3 linked regions of the Canis lupus familiaris genome follow. Each later gene encodes a partner of the first gene's protein in a complex. Links are inferred from orthologs where the notes say so. Each region holds a gene or a part of one and is shown in the gene's direction. Other genes may lie near its edges. The genes, in order: SNRNP40, SNRPD2 and CRIPT.

Region 1 (3,753 bases):
TCCCATCACACCACTCTCTCCCCCCACCAAAACAAAAACAAAACAAACAAACAAACAAAAAGCTCGGTCGTTTCCCATCAGTCCTGAAGTAAAAATCCTGCACCTCTACCCACCTCCAGCTGCATCCTGTACCAGACCCTCCTTCATTCCCTCTGAAGTAGCCATAGTGGCCTCTTTCTGCCGTTCAGTCATTTTCCTCCCATTTGCCGCAGGGCCCCTGCACATGTTGTTCTATATGGAACGCTCTGCCTTTCTCCCTTGACCCAAATAATTACAATTCTTCCTTCAGGTATCAGTTCGGGCATCTTTTCCTCACAGAGGCTTTTCTGCTTATTGCAGACACTCATAACATCAGGCACCTCTCCTAGGCAGCACGTATTTTAAAGCTCTTAGTGAGATCACTGTTTAACATGCTTGCCCTCAATATTCAAATATTTGAATTGTTTGTTTGTTTTTAATTTATTTATTCATGAGAGACGGGGGGGGGGGTGCAGAGACACAAGCAGAGGAAGAAGCAGGCTCCATGGAGGGGGCCCGACGTGGGACCATCTTTGGTTCACAATGTATCCTCTCAGGGCTCTTTCCAATAAACACCAGTTGGACAATTAAGGAGACCTAGTTCCCAGATATGATTCCGAATTTCTCCACAGGACTGTGCTCTGGAGAAGCAGCAGTCGGATACTCCTCTCATCCCTGTCTCTCCCAGAGGCACTGAGCAGGCCCTCGTAAAAGGCTGCATGACCAGTGGCAGAAACAAGCCGGCCTCCTCAGTCAGAGAGAGGAGCCTGGTGGAGCTGGGAGACAGGCCCTTCCTCCCTGGGGGCGTTCGGCACAGGCACAGGGCTGGACACGGCAGGCGCTGGACGAACGAGTCGGCGGACGAGGGCCCCGGGCGGCCGCAGAGACCCCAAAGCCCTGCTCCAGCCTAGAAGGGGAACCCAGGCTGCTACGCGCCGACGCTGGGACCCCGGGGCCCGCCTCAGGCCCCTGCAAACCTTCAGCTGAGAAGAGCCAGGCTCACGTCACACAACCGAGGCGCCGTCTCTAGATGCCGCAGCCACCCACCCTCGACCTTCCTTCCACTTACTCTGGGTCAGCTCCCGGTCTCCCGGCCGCAGCATTGCGCGAAACGCCAAAACCAGACAACGCTTCCACCCACAAGACCCAGCGCGCCTAGGTGGGACTCCAGCTCCACCCACCAATCCCAGCACCGCACTCCCGTGACGCCAGAAAGAACTGACCAATAAAAGAAGAGTATTCAGGGAGGCGGTGCAGAGGGGATTGCTGCAGACCGATTGGTTACTCCAAGCCGGAAGTTCTGGGGGAAGAACTAAGTCGGAACCAATCGCGCGCTGCCTGAGGGTGTCGGCGCGGTCAGTGGCGGCGCTGAGGAGAGCGGTTGCCGCCATGATAGAACAGCAAAAGCGCAAAGGCCCGGAGTTGCCACTGGTCCCAGTCAAGCGGCAGCGGCATGAGCTGCTGTTGGGAGCGGCGGGGTCGGGCCCCGGAGCTGGGCAGCAGCAGACGGCGCCGGGAGCTTTGCTACAAGCGGTAAGTGGAGTCGCGGGCGGCCCTCGGGCCTCAGCTCATCTTCCCCTCAGGGAGCCCGCCCCCGGTGATCCCGCAGTGCGGGGTAGGAACGGGAATAGCTGCCTGCAGTTCACACAGGAAACACTGTAAAAGCGGTCGACACCCCCCCTGCCCCCCCGGGACGCTCCGCTCGTTACCTGGTTGGACGCCCGCTTTCAGCGTCTCGACCACCCTGGGAGGTGGCGTTACATTTAGCGTTAAGGACCTTGAAGTCAAAACCCGCACCGGGGCTTTTTCGTATTAAATCTTCCACAGGGACCCAGCGTGGAGTAAACATTCAGAAAACTTTGTAGAACGGCTGAAAAAAATGAATGAATGAATGAATGAATGAATGAGGAGAGAAAGGAAACGAATGAGCCCGGCTTGCTTTGGTCAAGATGCCCGCCCCCCCCCCCCCCCCCCCCATGTCTCAGCACTAGTACTGTTACTAACAACAACGGAACGAGAGCTGACCTTCATTTAATACCTGTCCTAAGGGCTTTGTGTATGAAAACCCCATTAATCTTGGTAACAGCTTAAGAGTTAGGAACTCTCAGTGCCCTGTTTTGTAAGCTCTTAACCCGGTAAGTGATAGGAAACGGTTTTAAAGCCGAATCCATGCTCTTAACTGCATTTCTTGTAAGATGGAGGTAATAACGATCACCCCTCTGCTGGGCTGGTAGGCTCCGATCAAGAAGTAAACGTCTCCACTCTCAACCTCTCCACCAGCCGGTGAGCAAATCCTGCTGGCACACCGTCCTCAAAATAGATGCCAAATTGCTAATCCTTGTGCCACCTCCATCACTCGCCCCTGGTCTAAGCCGTTATTTTTCTCATCTGGCATTATTGTAGTGAGGTCCTAACTGGTATTTCCTGTTTCTATTCTTTTATGGTCCATCTATTCTCAGTCCAGTGGCTAGAGAATCCTGCTAAAGGTCAGCTCGTGTTACCCTCTGCTGAAAACTTTTGATGGCTTTCCATTTCACCCAGGGTTAAATCCTTACAATCCTTAAAATCTTTTGCCCATTTTCCCTTTACCTCTCAGATCTACCAATTTTCCATTACTCCCCCTGCTCCAGTCACACTGGCTTCCATGCTCTTGCCTCAAAGCCTTTGCATTTGCTGCACTCAACTGGAATGCTCTTCAAAATATCCACGTGGTTTACACACTCAGATCCTCCAAATCTTTGTTCAGATATCACTTTTTCAGTAAGGGCCTTCCTGACTACCCTGTTTTAAATTGCAATACCCCATATGTATTAATCCACATCGCTTTTTTTCTTCCGTAGCACATACCAACCTGCTATATGTTTTGTTTTCTCTCTTCGTCTCTTCTCTTCCTCCTTTCCACGGGAACACAAACTCCATTGTTTATTTTGTTCAGTACTGTTTTCCCAACGCCTAAAACAGTGCCTGGCACGTTAATTTTTTTTTTTTTTTAAATAAATGAGTAAACTGAAAGCTATTAAGGATGTTTGGGGATTATCAATAGTGTACCAGGTCTTCTCTCTGACCGGAATGTCAGCCCAGGTTCCAGTGAATTGTCCAAGCCTAGGTTTAGTGTCAAGACCATAGTCAAAACTACTTTCCTGGGTAATATGTACCTTGCAGGGTTGTTGGGAAGCTCAGTTCAGGCATTAATTAAATGTGCTAGAGACTGGGAAAAGTGTTGAATGCAGGGTCCCTGCAGTCACAAAGCTGCTTTTCTACCGGGGAAGAGGACAAAATGTGTAAACCAATACAAAGGAAGGTGATTTCAGGTAGTCTTAAGTGCTGTGAGGAAATACAGTAGGATTAATGGAATACAGAGGGGAGGTGTGATGCTGCTTTGAGTTTGAGTGATCAATGAAAGACTTTCTGAAGAGGAAACATTTGGAAAGAGCTAAACACAGGACGATCAAGGGAAGAGGATTCCGATCAGGAGCAAGAAGTGTAAAGATCCTGAGACAGAAATGAGCTTAGCATATTTGAGCAATTTAAAGTTGGCTATGGGACAGAAGGAGCCTGAGGGAGTAGTCAGTATAACTGGTAGACACTGGACACTTGAGTAGGAGGGTATCAAATTGGAGGCCTAAGTTAATGTGAGAAGAGTTACCATTCTCTAAATCAGGAGAAATCTACTCAATGATTGTTTACCGTGTCTTTTGTAGTCTCCTTTGCCTGTATGTAGTAACTACCCTGTAC
Region 2 (3,112 bases), on another chromosome or scaffold:
TGGAGCCTCGGTTTCTTCTCAAGGAGAATAAGAGTGAGAACAGGAAGTATTGGGCCCAAAAAGGCAGATAGACCTAGATTTGAACAGGGCTGTGCCACTTCTAAAACATCATCCCACTGCGCCAGTGTCCTGCTCTGCAAGCTGGGGGTGATACTAGTGTTTACCTTCTGGGGGTGAGATGTAGTGAGAATTACTGGCTTACTGCTTCGAAGAGGGCACCTGGGTGCTTAGTAAGAGCACAATCGGTGGTGGTTTATTCATATACATTTGTGTGTCCACATCTTTTTAAAGATTTACTTCATTTATTTTGGGGGGAAGGGGCAGAGAGGAAGAGTTCCAAGCAGACTATGCTGAACAAGGAGCCTGATGTGGGGCTCACTCTCATGACCTGAGATCATGACCCAAGCCAAAACCAAGAGTCAGACATTCAACCAACTGTACCACCCAGGTGCCCCCCCCCCCATTTTTTTAAGAGGACTTTCCCCCAGTTCTTCCTCATATCCCCACATCAGCTTCCCACCCTAGTGTGTATCCTGCCACAGTTCACTCACTCACGCTCAGCACACACACACACACACACACACACGGGCTTCTTTGTGGTGTTAAATAACAGCTTTATTTTTTATTTTTTTAAAGATTTTGTTTATTCATGAGAGACAGAGAAATAGAGACATAGGTAGAAGGAGAACCACACTCCTCATGGGGAGCCCCATGCAGGACTTGATCCCAGCACCCCAGGATAACGACCCAAGCCAAAGGCAGATGCTCAACTACTGAGCCACCCGGGTCCCCAGCTAACAGCTTTATGGAGGTGGAATTGACATGTTGTCATATCATAAATGTAATTGTTTTTAAGATAGAATCTTCCATGTGCTACTCTGCATCTTGTTTTTCGTACTTTTCAGTGATCTGTGAACATCCCTGCAGGTCAGCTAAGGCATTCTTAACCCTGTTACTTATTGTATTAATTATGTTCCTTTCTTGAGTGAGCAGTGCATGCAGTTGAGGCAAAATTCAAAAGAAACGAACGTGCTCAATGAGGAACAAGTCTTTTTTCTCCCTGTCAGTCAGTTGCCCTCCCCAGGAATCCTTCCACGGTAAATTCCTCAGGTCCCCTCACATGACATCAGACCAACAGACACAAGAGTGTGCTTTACTTTATTTTAAATCACTGCTAATAGCAAACCACACAGTTTTAGACCTCAGCTTTTTCACTTGACAACATGCCTTGAAATGTTTCCATGTGGGTATGCTACTTCATTTTTTTTTTAAGCTTATTTTTCTCTGAATTGCTAATGTATTCACAGGATTCCAAAAACAGTAATAGCAGTCCAATGATAACATTCCATGCAGCTTGTCCCCGGCCTCCAAGTGTCTTCCAGGATTCTGTACTGTACAAAGCAAAAGGAGGCAGGCAGTATAGATGCTTCTCCTACCCCCTTTCTTCCCTTCAAAAGATCACTTGCATACTTGGTTTTGTCACTCAACAGTCTCTCGTGGATATTACTCCACAGCAAGGCACAGAGCTTCCCCACTCTTAAATACTTTATTTTTCTTGCCACTCAGTAACATTTCCTTCTATCTTTCTATCCCTTCACCTGGCTTTAATTTTTCTTCATAGCAGGGGTTGTAACCTGACAGTGTATCAGATCCATCTGTTTACTTGCTTAGCATTCTTCTCTCCTCACATCCCATCAGGGCAGGGGTTGCATCTGTCAGCTTCACTGCTGTATTCATTGCAGGTGCTTGCTGAGTGGGCTAATCTGTACTGTCCTCAAACGTGTCCACCTGGCACCCTGAGGAGATAGGGACCAAGCACAACTGCGGCGGAGGCATCACATTCCTCCATAGGCCCCAGGGACCTCTGGCTCCACAAATAGCAGCAGTTCCTTTGCTGATGCTTTCAGAAGTACTTAGAGTTGAGAAACACAAGCAGACCCATTTTGCTTACCTTTCCCCTGGGTCAGGCCCCCTTCTAAGTCTTTGCAAGAATGCTGTATTGGTTAATTTATCTTCACAGCAGCCCTATGAGGGAGGCACTGTGAATGACTCCATGTCAGAAAGCAGGACATTGAGGCACAGAGGAGTGAAGTCCTTTGGCCAAGCCTCAACCTGAAGACTGGCAGAGGTGGTGTGGGGGGTCCCTGGCTGTCCTTGTCCCAGGCCCTCACCTTCATCCCATGTGAGCTGCTGGAAGAGGGGTGGGCAGAAGGCTTCTCCCTCACTCCTGGTGCCTGCCCTCTACCCCCAGGCACTGCAACATGGTGCTGGAGAATGTGAAGGAGATGTGGACCGAGGTCCCCAAGAGCGGCAAGGGCAAGAAGAAGTCCAAGCCAGTCAACAAGGACCGCTACATCTCCAAGATGTTCCTGCGTGGGGACTCCGTCATCGTGGTCCTGCGGAACCCACTCATCGCTGGCAAGTAGCGGCCTCCTCCCCGCCGTCAGAATTTGCTCCCTCCTGCGAAGACCTGCCCTTTGTAATGGGAATAATAAAGTCCTGGGTTTTGTCTAGTGGCATCTGTCTGTTCCCAGAGCCTTGTGACAGGGACAGGCTTGGGGAAGGGAGGCAGCTGGGTGTGGCGCCAGGTGCTAGGGTGCAGACTTCTCTGATCCCGTGAAGAGGCCCTGTCTCTGCCCCTCCTCAGGCCTCTTTTTCCCCATCTGTGAAGTGAATGGGTTGGATACAGAGGGCTCTCTTTCCCTTCTTAATCTTTTCTAGCTTCTCATCGCTGCGTCTCTCTTCCCTTCCTCTGCCTCTCTCTCAATAAGTTGAGGTCTGGCTGCAGTGCTGGGGACACAGCAGTACCCAGGAGAGCCCTGACCAGCCCTCACTGAGAGGAGAAGGAGGATATAGTTAGAGTAGTCAGTACCCAAACAGTGGTAGTGATTGCCACTAACACCTGCCAGCTGTTAGGGTGCCAGGCCCTTTCCTCTGTGCTGAGCAGACACTGTTCATTATGACCTCCATTGCCAGAGGAGGGAACTGAGGTACAGAAAGGAGAGAGCATTCCCCCGAGGGGATCCAGCCAGGAAGTGGTGATGGTATAATTCAAACCTCCCCTGTGCCAGAGCCTGGGGCTTAACCCTGAGCTCCACTGCCCACAAATTAC
Region 3 (3,653 bases), on another chromosome or scaffold:
GTACAATTCCTATTCTCCAAGATCTTTAATACTATTCATTGGTCTTTTTTACTTCTCTTTAGTCAGCCCTCTTGCCCTTTGTCACTAGTGACTATTCCAAACTCTCTAATCCCTTAAATTTCCCCCACCTTCATCTACCTCATCCTCTGTTGACAAATACCTCCTTATAGGTATAAGACAAGCAAGGTAATTAAATGGGAACATTATCAACTTCTTTTACGATACCTGTAAACAGATCCACATCCATACTCATTTACCTCTTTCCCTTTTTCCAAGAAAAATTCTACTCGTGTCCTTGTTGCCATCCTTCCGTACCTCTTTATTTGTCACTATATCCTTTGGAATCTTTAATCAGCTCCCCTTCCATATAAAAATGCTCAATTAAACCTTGACTCCATCTTTCATTCTTGCATTTTTGTCACCTTTTCTTTTCATTCATGCAACAAGTATTACATTCTGACCAAATGCTAAACAGTAGGACCAAAGGGTAGAGACTGTGTCTTACCATCCCTTCATCATTATGCCAGGGCATGGTTTAGAGTAATCACAACAGACATTTGAATTGAACCTAAATATAAGTGCACTCTATCATTTCCTGAATTTAAAGCCTTTAATAAATACTCAATGTGCAGAGAATAATTTGGGGTTTTATATTTGGAGCCCGGATTCAGGATGACCCTCCACAATGAAGGCTCAGCTTATCTTTCCAACTTTGTTTTCATGTACTCTTACCTTCACTCTGGCCAAACCAAGCTACTTTGCAAGACCACATGTACCCTTAGCTTTCTGTGCCTTCATTCAAGATACAGCCTTTCTCTAGTTTGCCTTTATCCTCTCTCCTCTGTCTTCACAATCCCATTGCCACATCCAGACCCTCTTCCTGTCTCCTCCAAAGGCTTTCCTGGATTTCCCTAGCTCAGGTTATTTCTTCCCCTATGGTATTTCTCCTAGTACTTTAGCCATCCATTACTATGCTTTTTATTTTCTAGGTTATATTTTGGTTTGAATGGTTCTTTTTCAGAGGTCTCTGACCTCTCTAAAAATCTGATGAAAGCTATGGACTCTTTTTTTTTTTTTTTAATTTATTTGTGCACTTGAGGGAGCACAAGCAGGGGGAGGGGCAGAGGGAGAGGGAGGAGCAGACTCCACGCTGAGCAGGGAGCCCCATGTGGGGTTCGATCCTAGGACCCTGAGATCATGACCAGAACTGAAGGCAGACACTTAGACACTTAACTGACTGAGCTACCCAGGTGCCCTGAAAGCTATGGACTCTTACAAGAAGAAAAATGAATATACAGTAGTTTGGTATACAGCTTCATCCTGTCCACTTGTCTTCTGAGGTCTAGCCATGGAACCCAGACTAAGGACTTCTATTAGAGAAAATAGTATGTTGTATATTCCTTGAAACCTAGAGCTTTATCTTATTTATCATTTTATTTTTCTCTGAACTCTCTATAGTGGTTTATATATCATAAGTGCGTAGTAAATATTTATGGAATAAATATGTGTACCAGATTTGTTTAGATTTTTCAGATTTATTTAAAGCATACATATACAAGGAAAGCCTGCCATTAGCCACCGTACTGTACAGATTTTACTGGGTCAGGTACCCATTGCCCACAGTTAGTATCTTCAGTCTCAGTTCACAGCCCGTACCCCAGCATGAAAAGGCTCCTACTGCAAGACGGTGGTTGATACACTGAACTTTAGGCACAATGTAGTGTATTTATTAAATAGTAAATCCAAATTCCCCTTACTTTTACTATCTTGTTATAACAGGTGAAAAGAAACTTGGTACTGTTATCACTCCAGACACATGGAAAGACGGTGCAAGGAATACCACAGGTATTTTTCCATTTGGGAAAGAGGAAGTTGAATCCGGTACTTCCTGTGACTAATGTTTTAGCTTTTACATTATTTGTAAAAAGAACTCTTTTATGTGCAAAGTATTCCATCTCTCTTTTTTTTTTTTTAAGATTTTATTTATTAGAGAGAATGTGTATGCAAGCAAGATATGGGGGGAGGGGCAGAGGGAGAGGAAGAAGCAGACTCTCCACTGAGCAGGGAGCTCAATCCCAGACCCTTGATATCATGACCTGAGCTAAAGGCAGCTGCTTAACCAACTGAGCCATCCAGGTGCCCCTCATCTCCTAAATATTAAAGAATTCCAGATCCCCTAACAATTTAATCTTTTTTTATTTGTTAGGCAAGAGATAGCAAAATCATGAAATGATTTTCAACCAATGAGTAGATCATAGTAACTGATTTGATTCCACTTTATTAAAGTGTGTATTCCTCCCTCTTCACCTGACTTTTATAAAAATTCATGAACAAATCATTCACACATTTACATTTTCACCATCATATCATTATACATAGTTGAGATATTTCTAAAGGGAAGAAAAAGAAACGCTTGTACTGTATTCAGGGTCTTGGCACCACAGTAGTGACTTCAAGATTTTACACTAGATAAATTAAATGTAGACCCATCCCTAAAGTCCTCTTGAGTCTGAAAAATAAAATGATTATCCACAGTTTTACTGTTTCATAATAAATGTTTCCTTTTGAAGTAATGTCTTAAAAACCTGGCTATTAACTAAGGATTTTTGAAAATTTTTATATAGGCTATTCAAGTGGTAGGAGGTCAAAGAATGAACTCTTTAACTAATTGTTAAATGTTAAATGTATATGTTATAGTGAAATGTGCAGAAATAACCTACTAAAATACATGTATACCTTGATTTAGAAAGTGGTGGAAGAAAGTTGAATGAAAATAAAGCTTTGACTTCAAAAAAAGCAAGGTAAGTATAGAAGCAGCCACTCTACCCACAGGCATCTGACTTTCCACTCTTTTTGGTCTTAAGCATACCAGAATGAATTGGGTATGCATCATTTTGTTGTGATAAAACTGGTCAATAGTTCCTAGCATGCAAAGCCAAGCTATCTGTTATAACCTGCTGGCTTCACCCTGCTTCTCCTCAGTATATCAACATATGAAGATATTAGAGCTATATTTTTTCATATATATAATTTCAGCAGAAAACATGACTTTTATCTTGTTCCTTTTTTTTTCTTTTGCAAACTGGTTTCTTGCCTTATCCCTAAAATCACTTTGTAGTTTCATTCAGGTGCTTCAGTGTGGTATGTTTTATAGGACTAATTTTAGAATAATATTGCTTGGTTTGGTTTTATTTTAGGTTATTTTATCTAGTTCTTAAATAACATACAAATCGGAGGCAATAGATGTGGTCAGATCAGAAGCTCTGAAGTCAGCCTTAAATTTGAGTTTAGACCGTCCCTGTCTAGCTCTGGGACCTTAAGGAAGGAAGTGAAGCCAGTTTCTTGACTTTTTTGAACTTTACTTTTTCATCTAAGAATGGAGATAAAAGTGTCTCCCACCCTAAAAACCACTTTTGAACTCTATGCTTTATTATTTCCAGTCTTAAAAAAATCCATGAACCCTTCCAGTGCCACCCCATTTCCTTGCTTCCCTTCACAGCAGAAGTTTTCAGAAGCCTTATCCAGATGCTTTCTCAGTGACTGTAAAGTTCTATTCTTGACTTCAGCCACTCCAGTCAGGGCTTCAGCCCCACCAACCCATGCCGCTGTGCTTGGCAGGATCACACCTAATGGACTTCTCTATTCTCATTTTA

The links.
Region 2: SNRNP40 (region 1) and SNRPD2 share a complex: the UniProt entries of both Homo sapiens proteins name them as parts of the U4/U6-U5 tri-snRNP complex. The link is inferred for Canis lupus familiaris from reciprocal best matches to the Homo sapiens genes SNRNP40 and SNRPD2.
Region 3: SNRNP40 (region 1) and CRIPT share a complex: the UniProt entries of both Homo sapiens proteins name them as parts of the minor spliceosome. The link is inferred for Canis lupus familiaris from reciprocal best matches to the Homo sapiens genes SNRNP40 and CRIPT.

The regions. Positions count from the first base shown.
Region 1 is NC_049223.1:69,116,229-69,119,981, forward strand, and holds the start of SNRNP40 (U5 small nuclear ribonucleoprotein 40 kDa protein), read left to right. Parts: upstream 1-1,352; 5' UTR 1,353-1,407; coding exon 1,408-1,551; intron 1,552-1,727; exon of another isoform or gene 1,728-1,866; intron 1,867-3,753. UniProt on the Homo sapiens protein: Required for pre-mRNA splicing as component of the activated spliceosome. Component of the U5 small nuclear ribonucleoprotein (snRNP) complex and the U4/U6-U5 tri-snRNP complex, building blocks of the spliceosome.
Region 2 is NC_049222.1:110,606,518-110,609,629, forward strand, and holds the end of SNRPD2 (small nuclear ribonucleoprotein Sm D2), read left to right. Parts: intron 1-2,251; coding exon 2,252-2,426; 3' UTR 2,427-2,517; downstream 2,518-3,112. UniProt on the Homo sapiens protein: Plays a role in pre-mRNA splicing as a core component of the spliceosomal U1, U2, U4 and U5 small nuclear ribonucleoproteins (snRNPs), the building blocks of the spliceosome.
Region 3 is NC_049231.1:49,895,397-49,899,049, forward strand, and holds part of CRIPT (cysteine-rich PDZ-binding protein), read left to right. Parts: intron 1-1,779; coding exon 1,780-1,845; intron 1,846-2,746; coding exon 2,747-2,801; intron 2,802-3,653. UniProt on the Homo sapiens protein: As a component of the minor spliceosome, involved in the splicing of U12-type introns in pre-mRNAs. Involved in the cytoskeletal anchoring of DLG4 in excitatory synapses.